Linked DNA regions of Saccharomyces cerevisiae S288C. The protein of the gene in region 2 purifies or fractionates together with the protein of the main gene of each other region. This does not show direct contact. Each region holds a gene or a part of one and is shown on either strand. Other genes may lie near its edges.

What was found.
Region 1: the proteins of NUP192 (region 2) and NUP84 purify together in Saccharomyces cerevisiae (affinity purification with mass spectrometry; 5 studies listed by BioGRID). This does not show direct contact.

What each region holds. Positions count from the first base shown.
Region 1 is NC_001136.10:249,778-254,550, forward strand, and holds NUP84 (Nup84p), read left to right. Parts: upstream 1-1,788; coding exon 1,789-3,969; downstream 3,970-4,773. Other genes in the region: CYK3 (Cyk3p), read left to right, coding at 1-1,461; IWR1 (Iwr1p), read right to left, coding at 4,218-4,773.
Region 2 is NC_001142.9:367,961-375,758, forward strand, and holds NUP192 (Nup192p), read right to left. Parts: upstream 5,840-7,798; coding exon 788-5,839; downstream 1-787. Other genes in the region: FG-nucleoporin NSP1, read left to right, coding at 1-413; LOH1 (Loh1p), read right to left, coding at 7,155-7,798.

The DNA.
Region 1 (4,773 bases), on a different chromosome or scaffold from region 2:
AGGTATATGAGAGCTCTCGAAGAAAATCGCGACTTGATCTTACATCCTCAAGATTCGATTTATAACGGGCTAAATACCAATGAAGTCAAAGGTAATACAAAGCCCGGTTTGGTCGATGTGGAACTGGCCGAATTAAACATAGAATACATTGATAAGATGACTTGGAAACGGTGTATTAGAGACGGAACTATGACATTAGACAGTTGGGCTCAAACAACTTTTTCAGCAAGATACTCAACTGTTCTGGAAAAGTTAAGAGGCATATACATTTTTTGCACAGAGATGTTTGCTCTGACTGATGATAATGGAACGTCAGATTTTTCTGCGGAACCCCAAAATTTAGAGAAAATACTATACAGAAAGCATTGTACGCCATATGAATTGACATGGCTTTTCAAGAAATTAGCAAACTCATTGGGAATCACTTGTGAAATTGTTATAGGTTTCCTGAAAACACCGAGTGCTATAAATTGGGAGTTTAAGTATAACCACTGCTGGTTGAGAATACTGGTTAACAAAGAATGGAGATTTATTGACGTTATTTTAGGAAATGTAACCAACCCAATTCATGAATTTGTAAATAACAGAAAGATCAAGAAAGCAGAAAATAGCTACTTTTTGATGGCACCATTAGAAATGATATACACACATATACCGCCTAGGGAATTTGAGCAGCATATTGTTCCTAGTATCGATCAATTATCTGCATTGTATCTGCCATTAGTTTTTCCATCTTTTTTCAAAAATGAGTTAAAGTTATACAAATTTAGTACTGCACTATCATTTTTGGAAGATTCTGAGATCTACGAATGCTCCTTAGAAATTCCCAATGACGTTGAAGTCTTTGCATCCGTGGTTATTCCAACGGATAATGAAGAAGCTTCATCTGCGTACAGGAATATGGAACTCGCACTGACCCAAATCAAAAAGCAGAAAGCCGAGTCTGGTAGAAGAATTGCTCTAATCAAAGCAGTCCTACCACCCAATGTGAACAAAGGTTCACTGTACATACATTCAGGTGTAAGAGGTACGCAAACGAGTATTGCCAATATCCATCCACTGTCCATGATGGTCCCATTAACACATAAGGGAAGTAACATGAAATACGAATTTGTGATCAAGATACCCTCAGAAAGCATTCAGAAGATTGAGCTATACATTGTCGAGCCACAGAGTAGATATCTATTTGTTGGTAATGAGTACTCATTCGAAGTTATTCAAAGTCCCTCCGATGGTATTGTATACAGCAGTGATGAAGGGCCGAACCAAAATAGGAAACAACCAATGGCAATAAAATCACCCTCAGGAAGAGTTCATGAGCTAGTCAAGAGCGATCCCCACTTTCCTTATGGTACCTGGAAAGGAAGCATTAAAATCAAAGAGCCCGGCGTCTGGAGCGCTTTAGTGATCGCTGACTCTGGTATTGGGTGGTCCGTTTTTGCTGAATGGTTGTGCGTATAAACGTTTTTCACAAATTTTTTTACAGCGCTATAATCTGTATCATTCAACATACATTCTACTCAGGAAGGTGAATTTCATAACTCATATATGGCTATATAGTACTTATTATTTAATGATTTATCCATTGCATTCATAAAAGCTATGCTGGTCCAACTTTTTCGTATTTAGTGATGTTTTCGGTGAAGAAAATATGAAAAATTAGACCAAATGCTCAAATACATACGACATTTGAATTGTTTAGGCAAGTCCGAAAACGAGGTATATCAGCTAATTCAACCTGAAAACCAATTGAGTGCTACTTCGAAGTAAAATACATAGCCATTTCAAATGGAATTATCCCCTACTTATCAAACAGAACGCTTCACAAAGTTCTCAGACACTTTAAAGGAATTCAAAATTGAACAAAATAATGAGCAAAACCCCATTGACCCGTTTAACATCATAAGAGAGTTTCGCTCAGCCGCGGGGCAGCTTGCGTTAGATTTGGCTAATTCTGGAGATGAAAGTAACGTCATATCTTCTAAGGATTGGGAACTGGAAGCTAGATTTTGGCATTTAGTAGAACTGTTACTGGTTTTCAGGAACGCTGATCTTGATCTAGATGAAATGGAACTTCATCCTTATAACTCGAGGGGTTTATTTGAAAAGAAATTAATGCAAGACAACAAACAACTTTATCAAATATGGATAGTGATGGTTTGGCTCAAAGAAAATACATATGTGATGGAAAGACCCAAAAATGTACCAACTTCAAAATGGTTAAATAGTATTACTTCTGGAGGATTGAAAAGCTGTGACTTGGATTTTCCTTTACGAGAAAACACTAATGTCCTCGATGTTAAAGATAAAGAAGAAGATCATATTTTCTTCAAATACATTTACGAACTAATTTTGGCCGGTGCGATTGATGAAGCATTAGAAGAAGCTAAACTTTCCGACAATATTTCAATTTGTATGATCCTGTGTGGGATACAAGAGTACTTAAACCCTGTCATTGATACGCAAATTGCAAACGAATTCAATACCCAGCAAGGTATCAAGAAGCACTCTTTGTGGAGAAGAACAGTTTACAGCCTTTCGCAGCAGGCCGGTTTGGACCCTTATGAAAGGGCGATATACAGCTATTTGAGTGGCGCTATTCCCAACCAAGAAGTTCTGCAATATTCGGATTGGGAGTCTGATCTGCACATACACTTAAATCAAATTTTACAAACTGAAATTGAAAATTATCTTTTGGAAAACAATCAAGTAGGTACTGATGAACTGATTTTACCATTACCTTCACACGCGCTAACTGTACAAGAGGTGCTTAATAGAGTGGCTTCAAGGCATCCCTCAGAAAGTGAACATCCAATCAGAGTTTTAATGGCATCTGTCATACTAGATTCTTTGCCATCAGTTATTCATTCATCCGTGGAAATGTTGCTTGATGTCGTCAAGGGAACCGAAGCTAGTAACGATATTATAGATAAGCCTTATCTTCTGAGGATAGTTACACATTTAGCCATTTGCCTTGATATAATTAATCCAGGTTCTGTTGAAGAGGTTGATAAGTCCAAGCTCATTACTACGTATATCAGTCTTCTGAAATTGCAAGGCCTTTATGAAAATATTCCAATATATGCTACTTTCCTGAATGAGTCAGACTGCTTAGAGGCATGCTCTTTCATATTGTCTTCTTTAGAGGACCCCCAAGTAAGGAAAAAGCAAATTGAGACAATAAACTTTCTAAGATTACCTGCCTCAAATATTTTGAGAAGAACCACACAGCGTGTTTTCGATGAAACCGAACAAGAATATTCACCATCTAACGAAATTTCCATATCTTTCGATGTAAACAACATTGATATGCACTTAATATATGGCGTGGAATGGCTTATTGAAGGGAAGCTTTATGTGGACGCTGTCCACTCTATCATTGCCTTATCGAGGAGATTTTTGTTAAATGGCCGCGTAAAGGCTCTCGAACAATTTATGGAGAGAAATAATATTGGAGAAATATGCAAGAATTATGAATTAGAGAAAATAGCCGATAACATATCAAAGGATGAAAATGAAGATCAGTTTTTGGAAGAAATAACTCAATATGAGCATTTGATAAAGGGCATAAGAGAATATGAAGAATGGCAAAAATCCGTTAGCTTGTTAAGCTCTGAATCGAACATTCCTACTTTAATAGAGAAATTGCAAGGTTTTTCAAAGGATACATTTGAATTGATCAAGACATTTTTAGTAGATTTAACTTCCTCTAATTTCGCGGATTCGGCAGATTATGAAATCCTGTATGAGATTAGAGCCCTATATACTCCATTTCTACTGATGGAATTGCATAAAAAGTTAGTGGAAGCCGCAAAGTTGTTAAAGATCCCAAAATTTATTTCGGAAGCCCTGGCATTTACCTCATTGGTCGCTAATGAGAACGACAAGATTTATTTATTATTCCAATCTAGTGGAAAGTTAAAAGAGTATCTGGATCTCGTTGCTCGCACAGCAACCCTTTCGAACTGATCAATTAATGTATTGCAGAATAAGTTTATATTTTAAGTAAACAGCAATAATTTTATGCATTTCTTCTATCTATTTCAGAAGTAATTGACGTGATTTTTTATAGTTTTGCTTTGAATCTTTGTGTTTCCACACCGGAGAAAAAAAAGTTCATGAAGTGAAAAAGCGGTTAAACATGAATTTTCTACTATCTAAAGATAAAATTACAGATGCAGTTACTTACATACATTGAACAGTTTCTGACGGCAAATTTAGCTTCTATTAATTTTTTTCTGTAGCTGATGAAAAATTCTGTCCCTATGATGCGCCAATGGGTCATCAACATCCGTCGGAAAAAATTCATTTCTAGGGTATTCAATATCATCTCCTTCATCAGAATCATCTTCGTTATCACTTATCTCTATTTCACCTTCTTGGCCATCCAAGTCAATGAAATTCGAGGAATTTATGGATTTCAAGACATCACTTTTTCCTCCAAGCCTGTTAAAAAGATCCCCGTACTCTTCCTCCACATCGTGGTACCCATTAGATCCCTGAATTTTATCGTCATTCCAAGAGGAAAACCTGCTCTTATTAACCCCTATAACAATCTCTTCACCCAATGCAGCTATATCCTCTCCTTCGCTACCAAATAGAATAGATCTATCATCATCTTCATCCTCCGGATAATCATTTTGGTAATAGTTTTCGTCATTAGAATCCTCATCGTCTGAACGGGCTTCATTGGGATCACTTTCTTCATCAAGAGCCAAATCTATATGCTCAATAATTTTCACAAACCCTATATTTTTCTCGTTGTTATATCTA
Region 2 (7,798 bases):
AACATAGTCAAAACAAAATAGATCAATCTCTACAATATATCGAGAGGCAACAGGATGAATTAGAAAACTTCTTAGACAATTTTGAAACCAAGACAGAGGCACTTCTGTCCGATGTTGTGTCTACAAGTTCAGGTGCTGCGGCCAACAATAATGACCAAAAAAGACAACAGGCCTATAAGACAGCCCAGACTTTGGACGAAAATTTAAACTCGTTGTCATCCAATCTTTCTTCTCTAATAGTAGAAATCAACAATGTTAGTAATACATTCAACAAAACCACTAACATCGATATAAACAATGAAGACGAAAATATTCAACTAATCAAAATCTTGAATTCACATTTCGACGCTTTAAGGTCACTAGACGATAACTCCACCTCTCTGGAAAAACAAATCAACTCGATAAAGAAATGATCTAAAAGAAAAAATTCCCTCTATTCTACACTTATTTGACATAGGATGTGCTATATTAAATAATTATATATAGGTATCAAAATGTACGCGATGGTTCAGAACCTGCAATTAATTTAACACCTCAATCATACTTGTTTTTTTCCTTTTTCAAGAAGTTTTTGTAATGTGTCGTGCCGATCTGTAAACGACCTGGATTTTTATTTCATTAGACAGTAAATACGCACCAAATCAGAACCAAAGAAAGGCTTCTGTAGTGTATGAAACTAAAAGCCACTTTTTGTGATAGTTTCTTCTTAGTACTTAGTACACAACCAAATATTTTGCAAAATGAAATCGATTCCTAAAAGTAATTCTTAAAAGTGATAATGAATGACTTAATCGTTATTTTGATATCCTGTTAATGTGCATAACATCACAATTAGCTTCACCATTTCGTTTAAACTTTGGTTATTAGGATCCGACGAATTTTTCTTATCTTCTTTTTCCCTCAAAAGATCTCTTTTGAATATTCCGATCACTAGCCTCTTATACGTATTCAGTAAACCCTTTACCGTTTGAACAACAGCTTTGTTTGAGCTCCCCATGCTCACTAAAACAGCTGATATCAATTGGAATATAGGAACGATTAACTCAAACAAGGAAACACCATTAGCATCTTTGTCAACTAGTAGCGGATTATCCAAGGTGACGTTAACCTTTAAGAATTTGGAATTCTGAACGTAGACTTCGTCAAACATAAGGTCTAGACCCAAATCAGGATCAACTTTTAAAAATGACAATTCCGCGATTATTCGGAATAGATTATTTTCAATTAAAGCGCTAGCTCCACCTCTAGTTTCGGCAACACGTATTAAAAAGAATACAGTGGCTTTAAAAGCTGTCAATTCATATAACAAATCATCAATGTTTATGTGCTCTGTAGTAGAATTTAACAAAGCATCTGTATTTTTCAGCGAACGTATTATTAAGAGCAGTCTTGTAGTTTTCATCAGTGAATCCAATATAAAATTCTCTTTACTTCTATTAGCCAGTTGAATAAGTGAATCCAATAGTAATATACCTGTAACCCTACTAGTTCCCTCGCCATAAACAACATCGTTCCATATGATCTCTACCAATTTTTTACTTCCTAGTCTCAAATCCTGCAGAACCTTTTCGGACCCTACTTGGTCGCTTAGAACTCTACTCAAATAATGGTTTGCTAATATATAGAAATCGGACCTTAATGCCACAGAGGAGAGTGGGGAGTTTATACCCTGAATACATGTCTTGAACAACTGATATAGCCTGCCGTCTACCGTGCCTTTGTCGGTAATCAACTTACGATCGCGGTTATATATATCAAATAGGAAAACGGCGAGAGAAACCAATTCTTCTGAAAAAGTTATATTAAACTCAATATAATCACTAATCTTCGGAATAATTGTACCAAAAACCTCCAGAATAAAGTTTGATCTTGTTGATGGTTCCAATTTTCCATCAGTAACAATGATTTGCACCAACTGTACCCAAGAGTGCAGCACAGATAGGTTCAACTCCAATGCTTTGTTTCTTGATATAATATTCGTGAAATGGCTTTTTGCTTTTATACACTCGACATCTGCATCCTTCAAAAATTGTTCTTTTGACACAGTGAGACTGAAGGAATTAGAATGTAAGCTTTCAGCACGGACTCTTTTAATCAGGCGCATAAGGTTTTCCATTTTGTGAAAGTCATAGATATTGCCGGAGCAATACTTGTTAAGAGTGACTTGTTCCAAATTTAAAGGAACATTGGTGAAAATTGATAACGTCTCTTTTGGTTCGCAGATATTGCCATAGTTTAATGGATCCAAGAAAGAAAACAACCTTACCGAATACATTGTATTTGATATCAAGTAATTCACATATGTTAAAACCTCTGATTTCGTGCCCGAAAATGAAATTTTATGAATGAACAGACCCAAATATTGTGTCCAATAATTCCTGTAGGCTAAGAATGACAGAAATGCACCAACGGATTCGCTCTCGATGAAGTTCTTACATTTTTCCTCTGTAGAATTGTCAAAAGGAGAGCCGTTCCATGTCGTGAACCTTGTCACTTGTGGATCGAGGATCATTATTCTCTCAAAAAAGTTTTCTTTGATTAGGTATGAATATAGTAGACCAGATGTTAACGGATTACGACATAGTTTGAGAATAATTTCCAGTGCTGCTGTAGCCAATCTCATAGGTGCATAATCGATATTGTCCTTAGTAATGCTGTTCAATGAAGCTTCCAACACGCTTATGAGGGAATCAAGTAATGAGGTTCCGGAAGATATAAATGTTGCTAGGTTAGGTCCCAGGGATATAACGTTTGAGACCTGGAAACCTAATAACAGATGAGAAATAGTCATCGTTCGACTATAATTAGAAAGATTTGATGTTAAGAAATCTAATAGTTCTAACTTCAAAGCAAGGACACCAGCGTCGGTTATTGAGCTTTCCAATTGTGTAATAAATGCATCCTTTATTCTGGCTGATTCATCTACGGAATCGAATATTGTTAACAACTTATTTCTCTTAGACAAAGACGCAACGGAGCCATTAGAGCGTTCTGAAAGTTTCGCCAAAATACGCAGTGAATTTGTGGCTAAAATTTGATCATCGACCCCGACGTATAAACCCAAGTGTGCAACAAGTGGAATATTGAAAAAAATTGCATCGTAAAATGAACGTAATCCGTGAAGAGAATAATTCTTTGGCAAGAAATAATCCGTCTTGCCATGCTTCTTAACAATTGGAAATAATTCTTCCACGTATGTCTCCTGATAATCCAATACTTTATTGATAATTTTCACAGCTAACTGCAACAATTCAGCCTGATTTTTGCCACCTTCTAACTCTATGGACAATTGATCAACACCAACATCAACTACATTAAATATACTTTTGTAAATCTTTTCCGTGAAAATATAGTTGAATATGGGGATAGCTGGGCATTCTTGAACGTAATTGAAGAAATTTTCGCAATCCACCAAAGCATCCAAATTCGCAGCTGCAGGAATAGAATTTAAAATTACACTGTAATCAAAAGAGCATAAGCCCGTATAGATAATTTTCAAAATAGGAAGCTGGACGGCTCTTTTATTTCTGATATCAACAATTTGATCCACGTGCGCTAAAATGTCGTTGAAAATGTAGTCAAAATATGGCCATATACCTACCTTCCTATATCCCTGACCTAATCTTGTTGGAAATGCCAATTTGCCAAAAACCATGTATTCACTATTATTTTCACGAGAATGAATAGAAATCAGATTATGGAAGAGTTGTAAAAACCCCAAAACGTCAGAGTATTTTGTTAACACGTTTGTAAAAGCATTTCTATAAGATTCGGATGAATAATTCAGCGATGAATCCTTGAAAATTAGAGAGTCTAGAAAAGACCAAAATTTTGTTCTAGAAGATTCAAGTTTTGGAACCAAGTTACTTATAACCTTGAAAGCAGCGCCTACGAGAGGTGTATTTATCTTGGTGAATTCGAATAGGACATCTGAGAAAACTTTCGATAGCGAGCTTTTTACATCCTCGTCAACCTGGTATGTAACTGATCCAACTAAAGTTAATAAAGAAGACAGAAATATTACAGCTTCTTCATTTAAGCCTTCTTCTAAGGCTACCGCAGTCGAATCGATATCGTTATGAGTTGACTCACTAAACTGCTGCCTCTTATGGAGGCTCGAGTTAAAATTGCTTATTTTCTTAGTGTAGTCACTGAGACACTGTGCAATGTTTTTCCATGAAATCGAGCTGTTTTCGCCAAAATAGTGATAGACATTCAGGGCATTTTCAGGACCAAAGGACAAGCTAGAAACCATCAAATAGAAACAAGACCTCATCAAGTTGTCGTTGCATCTCGAACACCACTCAATAAAACCATAAGCGTTTGATTCCTTATCAGACCAGAAAGTACATGAATATTCGGGCCTTGATGCATAGAAAAAATATATTGACAGAAAAAATCTTTCTAAGTCAGCCTTTAGTGAGATGTCATCCAAAGTTAAGTCTTCACCGGACAACAAAGAGTCTTCCTCAGCATCCTTAATCTTTGTAAGCAAAAAGGCACAATCTGTAATAATAGTTTGAAGCACATCATCAAAGGATGAGAGGAAAAATTCTTGGGTCTGATCGGATAAAACTATAGTAGTGTAAGAATATTCGTTGACGTTATTGGGCATACTATTTAGTCGAGCGGTACCCGTGGTTGACATCATCCCAGGATAAGACGGATTCCATAAGCCGCGTCCGCTCATATTATCAGTTGCGGATGCTGGGTTGTAGGTAGAATTCGTCGTTTGACTGAAAATTTTTTCATCATCAAGTAACTGTTTAGGAATTAGCCTTGGAATATGCCTTTCTAACAGGGACCTTATATCGTAGAAAAGTTCCATACTCTTGTCTTGTTCCACGATAGATGTATCTGCGGCAAATATTAAAATTTGTTCAATAGCGCCTAGTTCGACGGCAGAAGTCATTGGCTCATCAACATCAGTTTTGAAATCCATCGTGTCAGCCCTTCTTTTAGGGTCTTCTTTACACCACCCAATGAAGTAAGCAAAAAAAATGAAAATAAGAGCTACTTTGACCGGTTTGGTATATATGGAGTCGTCCTTTAAGTCTTTCATAAACTGAGAATGTAATAATTTGACATCTGCATCGGGCAAAACTCTTAAAGATGCGAAAAGGTGGAAAAATGCAGGAGTATAATATATTATAAAAAAATCATTGGAATCCAATTCTGACACATGATGAAGTAAGGACAGTATAAAATCCTTATTTTTCATGATGGCTCCTTTATCCACTAAACCATATAAAATTTGACTCAGAATATCATATTCTCTCAGTAAGAAGTCTCTCCTAAACTTGATATTTTGTTGGAATAAAGCATTATAGTTTTCTAGTATCTGAGCCTTATTGATTTGTTGTTTAATCTCAGATAATTGAGTATGAATGAACTTAAAGGCTGAGAGGATATTAGAAACTAAAGCTCCATTCTTTATAAGCTCTTGGTATAACTCAGTATCTTCGTGGAAACAGTTGACTATAAAAGAAACAATTTGCAGGATATATTGCCTTCTCAAAAAGTATTGTACTTTGCCATTATTAGCGGTGGTATCACCAGAAAGTATAAGTTCACATGCAACAATTTCATCCAAGTTTAATTCATCGGACAAAGAAATAGCTTCGAAAATAAACTCCTGATTGACCTTAAAAGTAGAGCCATCGGATAGTTCAATTTCACCTTTTTCTAATTGTGATCGGCTAGCATTGTTTTTTAGTTTGTCTGTGTTTAAGTTCAAATTTTGTAAGTCAGGAAGTACCTCTTTGAACAGATCAAAATCGAACTCACCACTCTCAATAGAGCGATACAATGTTTGGAAAGGAATTGCAGACCATTTCATTTTTTCTTATCTGCGGAACAAATCTTTTCAACTAGGTTAGATGCCAAGTGATATAAGTTATATATATTTCGTGCTTAGGAGGCGTGTTGTTAATTGGCGTACCCTGAGGAAATAATTTATTAAGTATAGTGTAAACTAAGTGGCTAAGAAAGGTATTGGTAAACTAGTTGAAAGGCAATGGGCGCATTTACTAAATACTACATCACACTTACAAACTAACCTTGTTATTTTCCAGCAGAAAATTTATTTTCATCAAAAGACGAAAACGGAATCATACTACCCGGCCCGAGAAGGACTTTGATGAAGACCGTAGTTAGAATGGGCTCACTAGACTCGTGAGCCGTTTCAGTTTAATTATTATTATATATGTATACCAGTGCTTTACCCAAAAGAGAATATTTACGTGAAATACTACGCTCTTGCTGGGACCTTAACGTGTATATACTATCATAAACTGAGACTCTTCGTAAATTGCCCCTTAACAACACGGTGCTGTGAATGCTATCACTTGATTATACGCCAATAAACTTCATATTCTTTGAAGAGCCGCTGCTATTGCATTTAATGCTAAGGAAGGTTAACAAAGCATTAATGAAGAATAACTACAGGAGTAGCCAAAAAAATCTCCGCGACGGGGAATTGAACCCCGATCTGGCACGCGACAAGCGCCCATTCTGACCATTAAACTATCACGGAAGAAACAAAGCACTCACGATGGGGGTCGAACCCATAATCTTCTGATTAGAAGTCAGACGCGTTGCCATTACGCCACGCGAGCTACTATTTGTTGAAGGTTTTACTACTTTATTATAGTAAAACCTAATTACGCTTTCAATTACTACAATTTTCGGATTTTCACGGCTGGTGAAATAATGCAGCCTGTATTGCATAAAATGGCCGCACTTATGAGAACTGATACAAGTTGTTTACCGTTGGGGCACCAAGGTGTTATTAGTCAGAAATAAATGTAAATTTCTTATACTGCAAAGCAGAGGTACATATAACACACATCGATTGGTTCATCTTGGCTACGACTAATATTTTTGGGATGCAGGTGAATAATTAGATAATTGTTGTAATTCCATTGTTATTAAAGGCTATAATATTAAAGGTTATTTGGGTCTTTCTCTCTCTCGGCTTTATTTTATTTATAGTTTCTATCTTTCAGCTTTCAAAAAATAATATATATGGCGCTTCATGAAAAGAGAGCTAGCTACAGAAATATAAACAGTCATGGATGAATAGGCGGCGGCAGCTATGCCGGTGCATGCGCACAGTATAATGGACTTAAACTGCCTTAGTACAACTGTTCAAGTTATTGAATAGCATTATATATTAGTGCCAACCAAAATATGAAACCGATGCTTCCAACTGTCACCCCAAGAAGACACGCAAAAGGTGCTACTGCACATAAATCGGCCACTCCTTGAGCTAGACCCAATTCTAACAGACTTACAGTTAGGATTCTCTTTATTCTGTCTAGTCGTTTCTTTTTTTCCCTCGCTTCTTTTTCTTTTTCGTCTTCTCTACCACCATTTATAGTAATTCGATTCTGTTCTCTACTGAGGTTTTCTAAAGCATTAACTACCTTGCCCCTGGAGACTTCTTTAAACTTTTTGATATATTCAAATGGTGAAACATTCAAAGCCGCATCTAGTGCCTTTTCCACCTTTTCATATTCTATTTCGAGCGACTCTCTCTCATTATTATCCAAACTTTTCACTTTATAATTTAGCACCGCTTCTAAGCCCTTCAAAATAAAAGTATGCTGCTCATATTTTGCACTAATGTTTTGAATTTGTCCCTCGATAATAGGCACCTTCTCTGCTGTCAATGTTTCGTATGTTCCATTGTTGTCCAGATTTCTCAATGATGTGATTAACCTATCGCCCGCATCGCTGAACTGTTGTATTGTGTTAGTTCCTGCAATCACAACAATGGTGAAATAAAAATATATGA